Coturnix japonica: one gene and its partner. Each later gene encodes a partner of the first gene's protein in a complex. Links are inferred from orthologs where the notes say so. Each region holds a gene or a part of one and is shown in the gene's direction. Other genes may lie near its edges.

What was found.
Region 2: CDHR2 (region 1) and MYO7B share a complex: the UniProt entries of both Homo sapiens proteins name them as parts of the IMAC/intermicrovillar adhesion complex. The link is inferred for Coturnix japonica from reciprocal best matches to the Homo sapiens genes CDHR2 and MYO7B.

The regions. Positions count from the first base shown.
Region 1 is NC_029528.1:12,170,745-12,175,214, reverse strand, and holds the start of CDHR2 (cadherin-related family member 2), read left to right. Parts: upstream 1-1,622; 5' UTR 1,623-1,645; coding exon 1,646-1,848; intron 1,849-2,441; exon of another isoform or gene 2,442-2,456; coding exon of another isoform or gene 2,457-2,618; intron 2,619-2,899; coding exon 2,900-2,975; intron 2,976-3,367; coding exon 3,368-3,425; intron 3,426-3,618; coding exon 3,619-3,684; intron 3,685-3,763; coding exon 3,764-3,903; intron 3,904-4,008; coding exon 4,009-4,062; intron 4,063-4,197; coding exon 4,198-4,287; intron 4,288-4,470. UniProt on the Homo sapiens protein: Intermicrovillar adhesion molecule that forms, via its extracellular domain, calcium-dependent heterophilic complexes with CDHR5 on adjacent microvilli. Thereby, controls the packing of microvilli at the apical membrane of epithelial cells.
Region 2 is NC_029524.1:1,796,989-1,801,301, reverse strand, and holds the start of MYO7B (unconventional myosin-VIIb), read left to right. Parts: upstream 1-1,403; 5' UTR 1,404-1,850; intron 1,851-4,313. UniProt on the Homo sapiens protein: Myosins are actin-based motor molecules with ATPase activity. Their highly divergent tails are presumed to bind to membranous compartments, which would be moved relative to actin filaments.

The DNA.
Region 1 (4,470 bases):
TCAGTGGGACATCACCTCATCCCGCTCTGCATCCCATGGCTTTGTTTCACACCCAGCCTCTAATACAGGACTTCAACAGCGCACACCTGGATACAATGCTACAAGCCAAGGCTTTACCTGCTGGCTGTTACTTCATTCCTGTAACAGGCCCATAAACCAGCGCTAATTAAATCTCTCCTAAACTCTCTTCCATTTAAAATAAAAATCCATAGTCCCTATTTCATTAGCTGGCTTTGGGTTTTACAGCTTGATCAATTCCCCTCGCAGAGCCCCAGTCCCAGGCAGGCAGACACAAACACACAGCGAGCAGCTTCCACTGTGCAAATCAATGGGGATTTGCAAAGTCTCCTCTCTCAGCTCTTTGTTCTGCACTCGCCGAGCGGAGCCGTGCAGCACATCAGGTCGGGGCGGTGGGAACATCCCTCCCAGCAGCCAGATGGGGCCGTGCTGCTCCCTGCAGCGAGGGGACAACCAGCGGGAGCCCCATAAACACGGCCCCGACCCCAAAGGCAACGCAGCCTTGTGTGCAGCACCGCTCCTCCTGCAGCACGGCCAAGTGGGACGAGGCCCAGCTCGGGCAGACAAAAAAGCAGCGGCTGCTCTCAGCTCCTGCAAGAAGCGGAACAAACGGAGCAGCGGTACCGAGCGCTCCGCTCACCATTTATTTCCTCCCCTTCCTGCCCACCCCCATCGCAGTGCGGGGCCTCAGTCGGGCCGTGCCGGGCTCCACGAGCCGAGCACAGCGGGGATGGACGGGCAGCACCGGGCAGCCACCCCGCACACCGGGGTTAAGGACAACGTCCCGCTGCCCCTTATCCGAGCACCGGGACGTGCCGGGCCGCGGTTCCCCGTGTCCTAATGTTGGTACGGAGCCGCTCCCGCTGCCTTCAAAGCAGCACCCAAAGGTGCCAACAAAGGCCCGGTGCTGCGCTCCGCATTCGCCGTATTTTGAGCCGGCCTTATTATTTCCACTGCACCGTGCATTATTACCCGCCATGCAGCGCACTGACATCAGGCTCAGCCCGATCCCTCACGGCCGCTCCTCCTCCTCCTCCTCCTGCTGCTGCTGCCGGGGCTCCGGCCCCAGCCCACGCACAGCTCCGGGATGCGGGAGCCGCGCACCGCACACCGTGCAGCCCCGGGCCGAGCCGCGTTGGCTCCGGGTGCCGGCACAGGGAGCGAGGCCGCTCGGTGCTGCGGTCGCCCCGCTCGGTGCCGTCCCGCTGCGGCCTCCATACGGCCCGGCCCGCATCGCACCGCTGGGCCCTGCGGGACGGAGCTGCCGTACCCGCAGCACAGCGCACCCACCCCGCGGCACAGCCGCCATGGCCGCCCCGCTCCGTCCCCGCTCACGTCCCGCCGCCCGGTGCTCCCCGAGCACGGAGCCCGGCCCGGCCCACACGGCGACAGCCCCGAGTGCGGCCCGCGCTCACACCTCACCGGGCCCCGCCGGAGCGCCCTCCCGGTGCCGGTCCCGGTGCCGCTCCCCCCGTCGCACCGCCTGGGCCCTGCCCCGGCTCCGCCGCCCCCCCCGCCGGTTCCGGTGCCCGGCACCGCGCCCCACAACCTACCGGAGGCGCCGCCCCCGCCGCTCTCGGGCCGCTCGGTTCGTGCCCCGGCCGCGCTCCGGGCTCAGCCCGCTCGCATGGCGCGGCGGCCGGGCCCGCCGGGCTCGGTGTCCGTCCCGGTGCCGCTCGCGCTCCGGCCTCGGCCCCGCCTCACGGCGCCCCCTGCGATCCCGAGCCGATGGAACCGGCCGCCCCCTGCGCCGCCACCAGGTGGGAGCGTCCAACCCGGCCCCAGCGCCGTAATGAGCCTAAAAGAGCCGCAACTAAAACGCGCTGCGGGGTGAGAGCCGTAATGATCCGAGAGGATGCGCACTACAGGGACAGGGGGAAGGGCGGGGTGGGAATGTGGGTAGGGATGGAGATGGGAACAGAGATGGGAACGGAACGGAGACAGGGATGGGAAAAGGGATAGGGATAGAAACGGGAACAGGGCTGGGTTCAGGGATGGGGACAGGGATGGAGCTGGGAATAGGATGTGGATCTGGGTAGGGATGGGGATGGAGGCGCTGGGGACATCCCAGGCCAACCCTTAGAAGGTTTGGGGGTGTCCTGGGACAGTCCAGGAGGGTTTGCAGTGGGCTGCCTTGCACCAGGCCTGAGGGACTCGAGGAACGAGGGCACAGTGACCCTTCAGCAGTAGGGGCTGTCCTGGACCAGCCCTCAAGAGTTTCACCCCAGTCCTGGCCCTTTATGGGGTGCAGTGGGGCCTTAGAGCAGGCTGGGTGTCCTGGCTGGGTGTCCTGGGGTGTGCAGAGCTGTGCGGGCTCCTGGCCCCCTGAGATCCTCCCCAGTGTATAAGAAGGAAGAGGGCCAGGCCCGAGGTCCTGCAGAGCCAGTACAGGCTGTGTCTGTGCCTCCCCCCACTCTCACATCCCAGCCTTCTTCTGCATGAGCAGAGCCACACAATCCACCCTTGTCCCCAGCAGGGCTGAAGTAGGTCAGGGAGGCAGAGCTGAGCCCTCTAGGCCCCCCCAGGGAGGGAACCTCACAGCGGGGGATGCACGAGGCCCCAGCGGCAGCTCCACTGGGTCGGTGCCCACCTGTGTCCTGGTGAGACCTCCCTGCTCCAGCCCAGGGGATGCCAGGCAGTTCCTCAGCCCCTCCCCAGTGCCCTGGGTTTGGGGTCCCCCTGCAGCCCTACAGGCAGAGTCCCCAGGGTGCGGGTTGGGGTGGATGAGCCACGGGGATGGTCCCCAGCACAGGGGGCTGGAGCTGGGGAGCAGTTGCTGGGCTGGGCCAGAGCTGGGTGATGAGCAGCAGGGAGGAGAATGGAGAAAGCAGTTTCTCACCCCTTAATTGCAGTTAATCATTGATGAACTTGCTTACTTCAGGAGTCAAAGTTCTGCAGTGCTGCCAGGGTGCAAGCACGGCATAGCTGCCGGCAGCATCCCGGCTAGGTGCCTGCAGGTAAGGGATCCCAGCACGACCCCCCATGGGCACTGCAGTCTGGGTTTGGGGTGGGGGAATGTCTGTTGGAGGGGGTGAGCTGTGGGGGCTGCCCATAGGCGGTGATGTAAGAGAGGGGGATGTTGTGGGGTGTCACAGCTCTCTCTGGGGCTTCCATGTGGGGCTTGGAGTGATCTGGAGTGACTCAGCCTTCAGCTGTGCTCAGGAGCTGGTCTTGGGGTCCCCAGATACTCCTGAGGTCACCAGAACCTACAGACCAGCTCCATCCCCCCACTGTATCCCCATGGGATGGGACCTGTTCCCTTGGGCAGCTCAGTCCCATCCCATGCTCTTCCAGTGGGCATGGTGGGGGGGCTCGGAACATGCCCCAGTTTCTCTTCTGTGTTCCACAGGCTTTGGGCAGGATGGCATGGCACCCGCTGCTGCTGCTCCCCTTCCTCCTGGCAGCAGGTGAGGACTTTGCTTGGTGCAGGCCTGGGTTGCAGGGAAGCATCAGAGACGCTTCCAGCTCCATCCCATTTCCCTGGGGGCATCCATGACCCCCAAAAGTGGCACTGTGGGCTGGGCAGGGGAGGGTGAGGAGTGGGAGTTGTGGGGTGAGGAGGGGGAGATCCCCTGCACTCAGCTCATGTTCTCCCTGCAGCTTCAGGAAACACAGCTCCCATCTTCAACATGACCCTCGTGTACGTGCCTGAGGACCTGCCGATAGGTGAGGGGCGGCTGCGGGGGGGCTGCTGGGATGGGGGGAGAGCCTGGGGATGACGATGCCTTTCTCCCCTTGTCCCCAGGCGCGATTGCTTTCAGTCTGTCAGCCTATGACTTAGATGGGGACCCAATCACCTACGACATCACTGGGGAAGATTCCTTCTACTTTAAAGTTGATGCACAGACAGGTGTGGTGACACTGAAAAACCTGCTGGACCGTGAGGTGAGAGCAGGGACTGGGAGATGGGGCCATGGGGATGAATGGCAGAGCCCTCGGACTGAGGCTGAGCTCTGCCTGCCCTGACTGAGCTCTACTTTCCCTCCCCAGTCCAAGGCCAAGCTCGACATCTTTGTCATATTGTCTGACGGGATCAATACAGCAGTGAGTAGTGGGAACAGGGATCACAGTGGGGTCTCCGCAGGGTCTCAGTAATGCTGACTGTGATGCTCAGTGGGGCTTTGCCCAGGGGGGCAGTGCTGGCCGGCTCCTTTTCCCTTATCCAAGCTCTCCCCACAGGTCACCAGCCGCCTGACCATCATCGTGGATGACCGTAACGACAACGCACCCATCTTCCAATACCTGCCCTATGAAACCTCTGTCCTCGAGGTACCTTCCTGGGACCTGTTAGCCCCATGGGAGGGTAATTCCCATGGCATGGGTGTGCCTGGTGACAACAGGAAATAATAATGTGTGGTGACAGCATGAAGTGACGCTGCGCCTGGGCGTGTGGTTGTGGTGTTTGGTGATGGTATTCCTGGCAGTCATATCAGTGCTACTGGGGCTGGTGTG
Region 2 (4,313 bases), on another chromosome or scaffold:
TAGGAAGCTGTCAGGAAGAGGCAGTTTTGTTAACACGTCTGTCTGGGTAGACCTATTGTTCTGCACAACAGCAGAATTAATGTCACTAGGGATTATCCAATTTTAATTAATGCATTTCTCACTACATTAGGTATGAGCATGCTACAAATTACTCCAGTGCCTCTGCTACACCCAGCTACAGCTACAAATGTGCCTGTGCCTCACAGGGTCCCTTACCATACTGTCTTTAGCAGTAAACAGAGTTGCTCCCCCCTGGCAAACTCCTGATACCTGATACCTCTTGTACTGTGACTCAAAACTGAGCTCCAGCACTTCTGCTGGAGAAGCCTGCAACAAGCTGCCTGCCCAGCTCTCACATGTGCTTTATAAAGAGCCTAGGGTACGTCTGCCTGGACACCAAGCTGCTGCTCCTTCAGCATTTATATGTGCCACTTGAGTATGTCTATACTTAACTGTGGAAATCTGTCTCCCTTCTAATAGGTATTTCAGATGGCACCATGAATTGTGCTTTCATTCAGGCCGCCTTGAGTTCCTCGAGTTCCCATCTCATACATATTTACCTATTTCTGCTAGTACAGGAATACTTTGGCTCTCTCTGAAATAGAAAATGCTGCCATTGTGTCTTGGTCAAAAGCACTGAAAATGTTCTATTTTAAAATGTGATTCTCTTCCCCAGAACAAGCTGCATTGGGAATTTCAGCAAGTGTGCTTCATTTGTTGAAGAAATATATATGGCGTGTTCATCTGTCTGTTTGTATTCCTGCAGTCTAATTGCGCAACAAGCTTTTGTTTTAGATATCTACCTTGGCGCTCCAAAGGTGCTTACTTTGATTTTCTTATGTTTGCCCTACATCTAAAAATTCAGTGCTTCTTGAGGAGGTTGTGCCATTCACACAGAGCACGTACATGATGATAAAAGTCTGCTGAAGAACTGTCTTGAGACTAAATCCTTAAGAATGACTTGCACAGTTAAGGAAAGCTCTGCTTTGTAGTTTCCTGCCTCTTCCTAAAAGCCTCTGAACCCTATGGCCCTATACTCTATTTGTGCTATAAAATGTAAATAATCTCAGGTTTATTTGTTTAAGTTTTATAGCAGAAATGGTGGAGGCTAACGTTAACATACAAATATGTAACGTGGATATGTAATGTGTAACACAAATTATACCCAATTCTTTATCACTGTGCATGAATTCTGACCCCTTATTCCCATGTGGAACTACAGCAGGAATCCCAAGACATGGAGGCTTCTTCTTATCTTTCCTATGACACATTGTGGGTAATTAAACCTAGGAAACAAGAAAATAAGCACTAGGTGTGTGACCCTTGGTATTTCAGTTAGGTTCTTTTCACCTTCAGCTGTAGGTGCCGTGAAACACAGTCCCCACAGTACAGTGACTGATGAGCATTTTCTGACCTTGCAGAAGCAGCTGTAGAAAACCAAAGGGAGGGATGAGGGATAAGAACCCAATCAGAATGGTCAGTGGTGCTGGAGCAGCTAAGATCAGATGCTTAAAGGTTTCCTATTGGGAGTGGTTCCCAGCAAACTGAAAGGATTCATGCACAGAGGAGAGACTGAAGTTTAAGGTTCACCCAGGCAAGAATCAGCTGTCCTGCTTACTGGAACACCCGACTTGGAAATGACAATATGCTGAACTGGGGGCAAAGTCCTGCAATAAATAACCGTGCTTCAGCTATTTCCTCCTTTGTGCAGCAGACAAGTGGCACTCAGCAAGGGAAGCTTTCCCGGCACCAATGCCAGTTTCACCTTCCCTTTCCTTCTTACTCCCAAGCTTATGAAAAACGGGGAACTAAGCTGCTGAAGCCATACAGTGAAGATTTCTTCAGGAGAGGTAATTTTCCATCCCTTGAGGTGCAGGTCGGTTTGCTGCCACGTTGGAGAGAAAAGCAGCAGAAGAGACAGGTGTTGTGGGAAGGCGGCCTCATAGGCAGGAGGGGGATGCTCAGTTACAACTGGGAGTAAGCATTTTCGGTGCTGAATCTACATACCCTGGGATTATAGAGGATCTCTACCCCATACACCTACTTGTGGGTCTGGAGGTAGATGTGCCCTGACCTGATCCAGCACAGCCGTTCTCCATGTTGGCTTGCACCGCTGCCTCTCAGTTCTGGGCAGACATTTCAACCTCACTGCAGTATTCTCATTTCTGGCTCGGGTGAGAATCTAGTGATTGTGAGACCCTGTGGCTGACCATGGCCCACCTGCTGGTACACACTGTGCTCCTGTACCACCCTGCTTTGCTCATGCTGTAGGTCACCACACCCTGAGATTAGTGCACAGATCCAGTTGCCGAAGCGTGAGCAAAGACATGAAGATGTGCCCATAATAAAACTGACCAGCACAGGTGGAATTTATTTCTTGAAAGAGGAGACAGAAAAAAAGTAAATGCTCTCTTCTATGAGTGAACTGGGCTTGTTTATCTTGGAGAAGAGAAGGCTCCGGGGAGACCTCACTGTGGCCTTCCAATATTTGAAGGGAGCTTATAAACAGAAGGGGAACAGTTGTTTGTGAGAGTGGGCAGTGACAGGACAAGGGGGAATGGTTTTAAACTGGAACATGGGAGGTTCGGGTTGGATCTTAGGAGGAAGTTTTTCCCCCAGAGGGTGGTGACGCACTGTTCACAGGTTGCCCAAGGAGGCTGTGGATGCCCCATCCCTGCAGGCATTCAAGGCCAGGCTGGATGTGGCTCTGGGCAGCCTGGGCTGCTGGTTGGTGACCCTGCACACAGCAGGGGGTTGGAATTGGATGATCTTTGAGGTCCTTTTCAACCCAGGCCATTCTGTGATTCCATGAAAGAACACTGCATTGATAAGTTTTTGTAGATGTTGAGCACCAAAATTCAGAATTGTCTTAGTTGCAGATGGTCTCTGGAGGTAGCCCTGGGTCTCACAGGGAATTCTGAATGTAGTCACCAGGCACTGTGCTGGGGACACAGCAGCTGAAGGTCCTCCATGTGCCACATCATGCTGTGTGACATTCCACATTTCTTCCTGTTATTGGGTTATGTGTGAAAACTGCAGTTAAAATTTCTGCTTTAAAACACGTGTTAGCATTGGACTTTTAGAGCAGTGGTCTGTCATCTCTCCAAGTTTCCATTTATTTTTCTCCTTGGGATCACAAGACATTTTGTAATTTTGATAACTGATTATTTTTAATGTCTTTTGCGGTTATTTGGAAGTGGTTCATTGTTCTGGACTTGCTTAGAAACTTGTTCAATCCGTGCTATTGTGTAGACCTTTTCAGCCACAAACAGGGCATGCTGCTTGCCAAGCACTTCTCGTTTCCACTTTGCTACCATGGCAGCCCTCCTCCTGCTTAGGACATAGATGTGATGCACACAGTTGCACTGTCTTGCATGTAGGGCTATAAGTGTTCATCTGTTTAGTCTGAAGAAAAGGTGGTTTATGCAGCCAAGGCTGTAATTTATGGAAGCTATTTGTAATTTTCAGGCTAACACAGGTAAGTAAAGTTGGTGGCTACAGCAAACGATAAAATAAACCCTCATTCTCTCACTACAAAGCTTTCTTCTAACACTGAATACAAAAGTTTATTGAAACAAGAAGAAAACATCATCCCCAAACTTCATTTCATGCCGTGTGTTTTAATGGTGGCTTTTGTTTTTCAAGAGCACGTATTTCCAAAATCAAAGTGGTGGCTTAAAACAGTTTTCTAGTAATTTAAGCAAAGGGTAGATTTGTAAATTGCAGAAACCTCTGTAGCTTCACAATGAAATGGAGACAGAGCATTAAATGGCTGAAAATAAGAAGTCGGGAAAATAATGAGATCTGGATAGCTCTGATAAAATGCATGCACAGTATTATGCAGAATTGTAAATTGTTAATATAAGCTTTATCCATGAGACTTTAAAGCCTTTAGAAGTGATGAAGAGGAGAAATCTCATGGGTTTATGAATTATCCCATTGGTCACTTTTGATGGTTATATGTATAGCAATAGCAAAAACCCCACCAAACCCAACCACTTCCAACTCAGTTAATTCATGATTTCCTTGTTTTTCTCAAACTTCCCAGAGAACCTGTCCAAAATCTGTGCAAGTTTAATCTGGGGCCAGAACAAAATGATTGTGCCAAATGCAATGAGAAAGTAAGACATCTGAATTTGAGTGTTGAGATCAAATTGGAGCAGGTGTTCCAGGAGATCACGGAGCTGCCTGGAATAGCTACCAAAGATCAGTTCCTCGCCCTGTAGTGTCCTCTTGTCTTGTGAAATGCTTCACATTTTGCTTATTGCAAGCATTTCATTAGGAACTTTGAGTTGAACCTTGGGTGTGTGGCA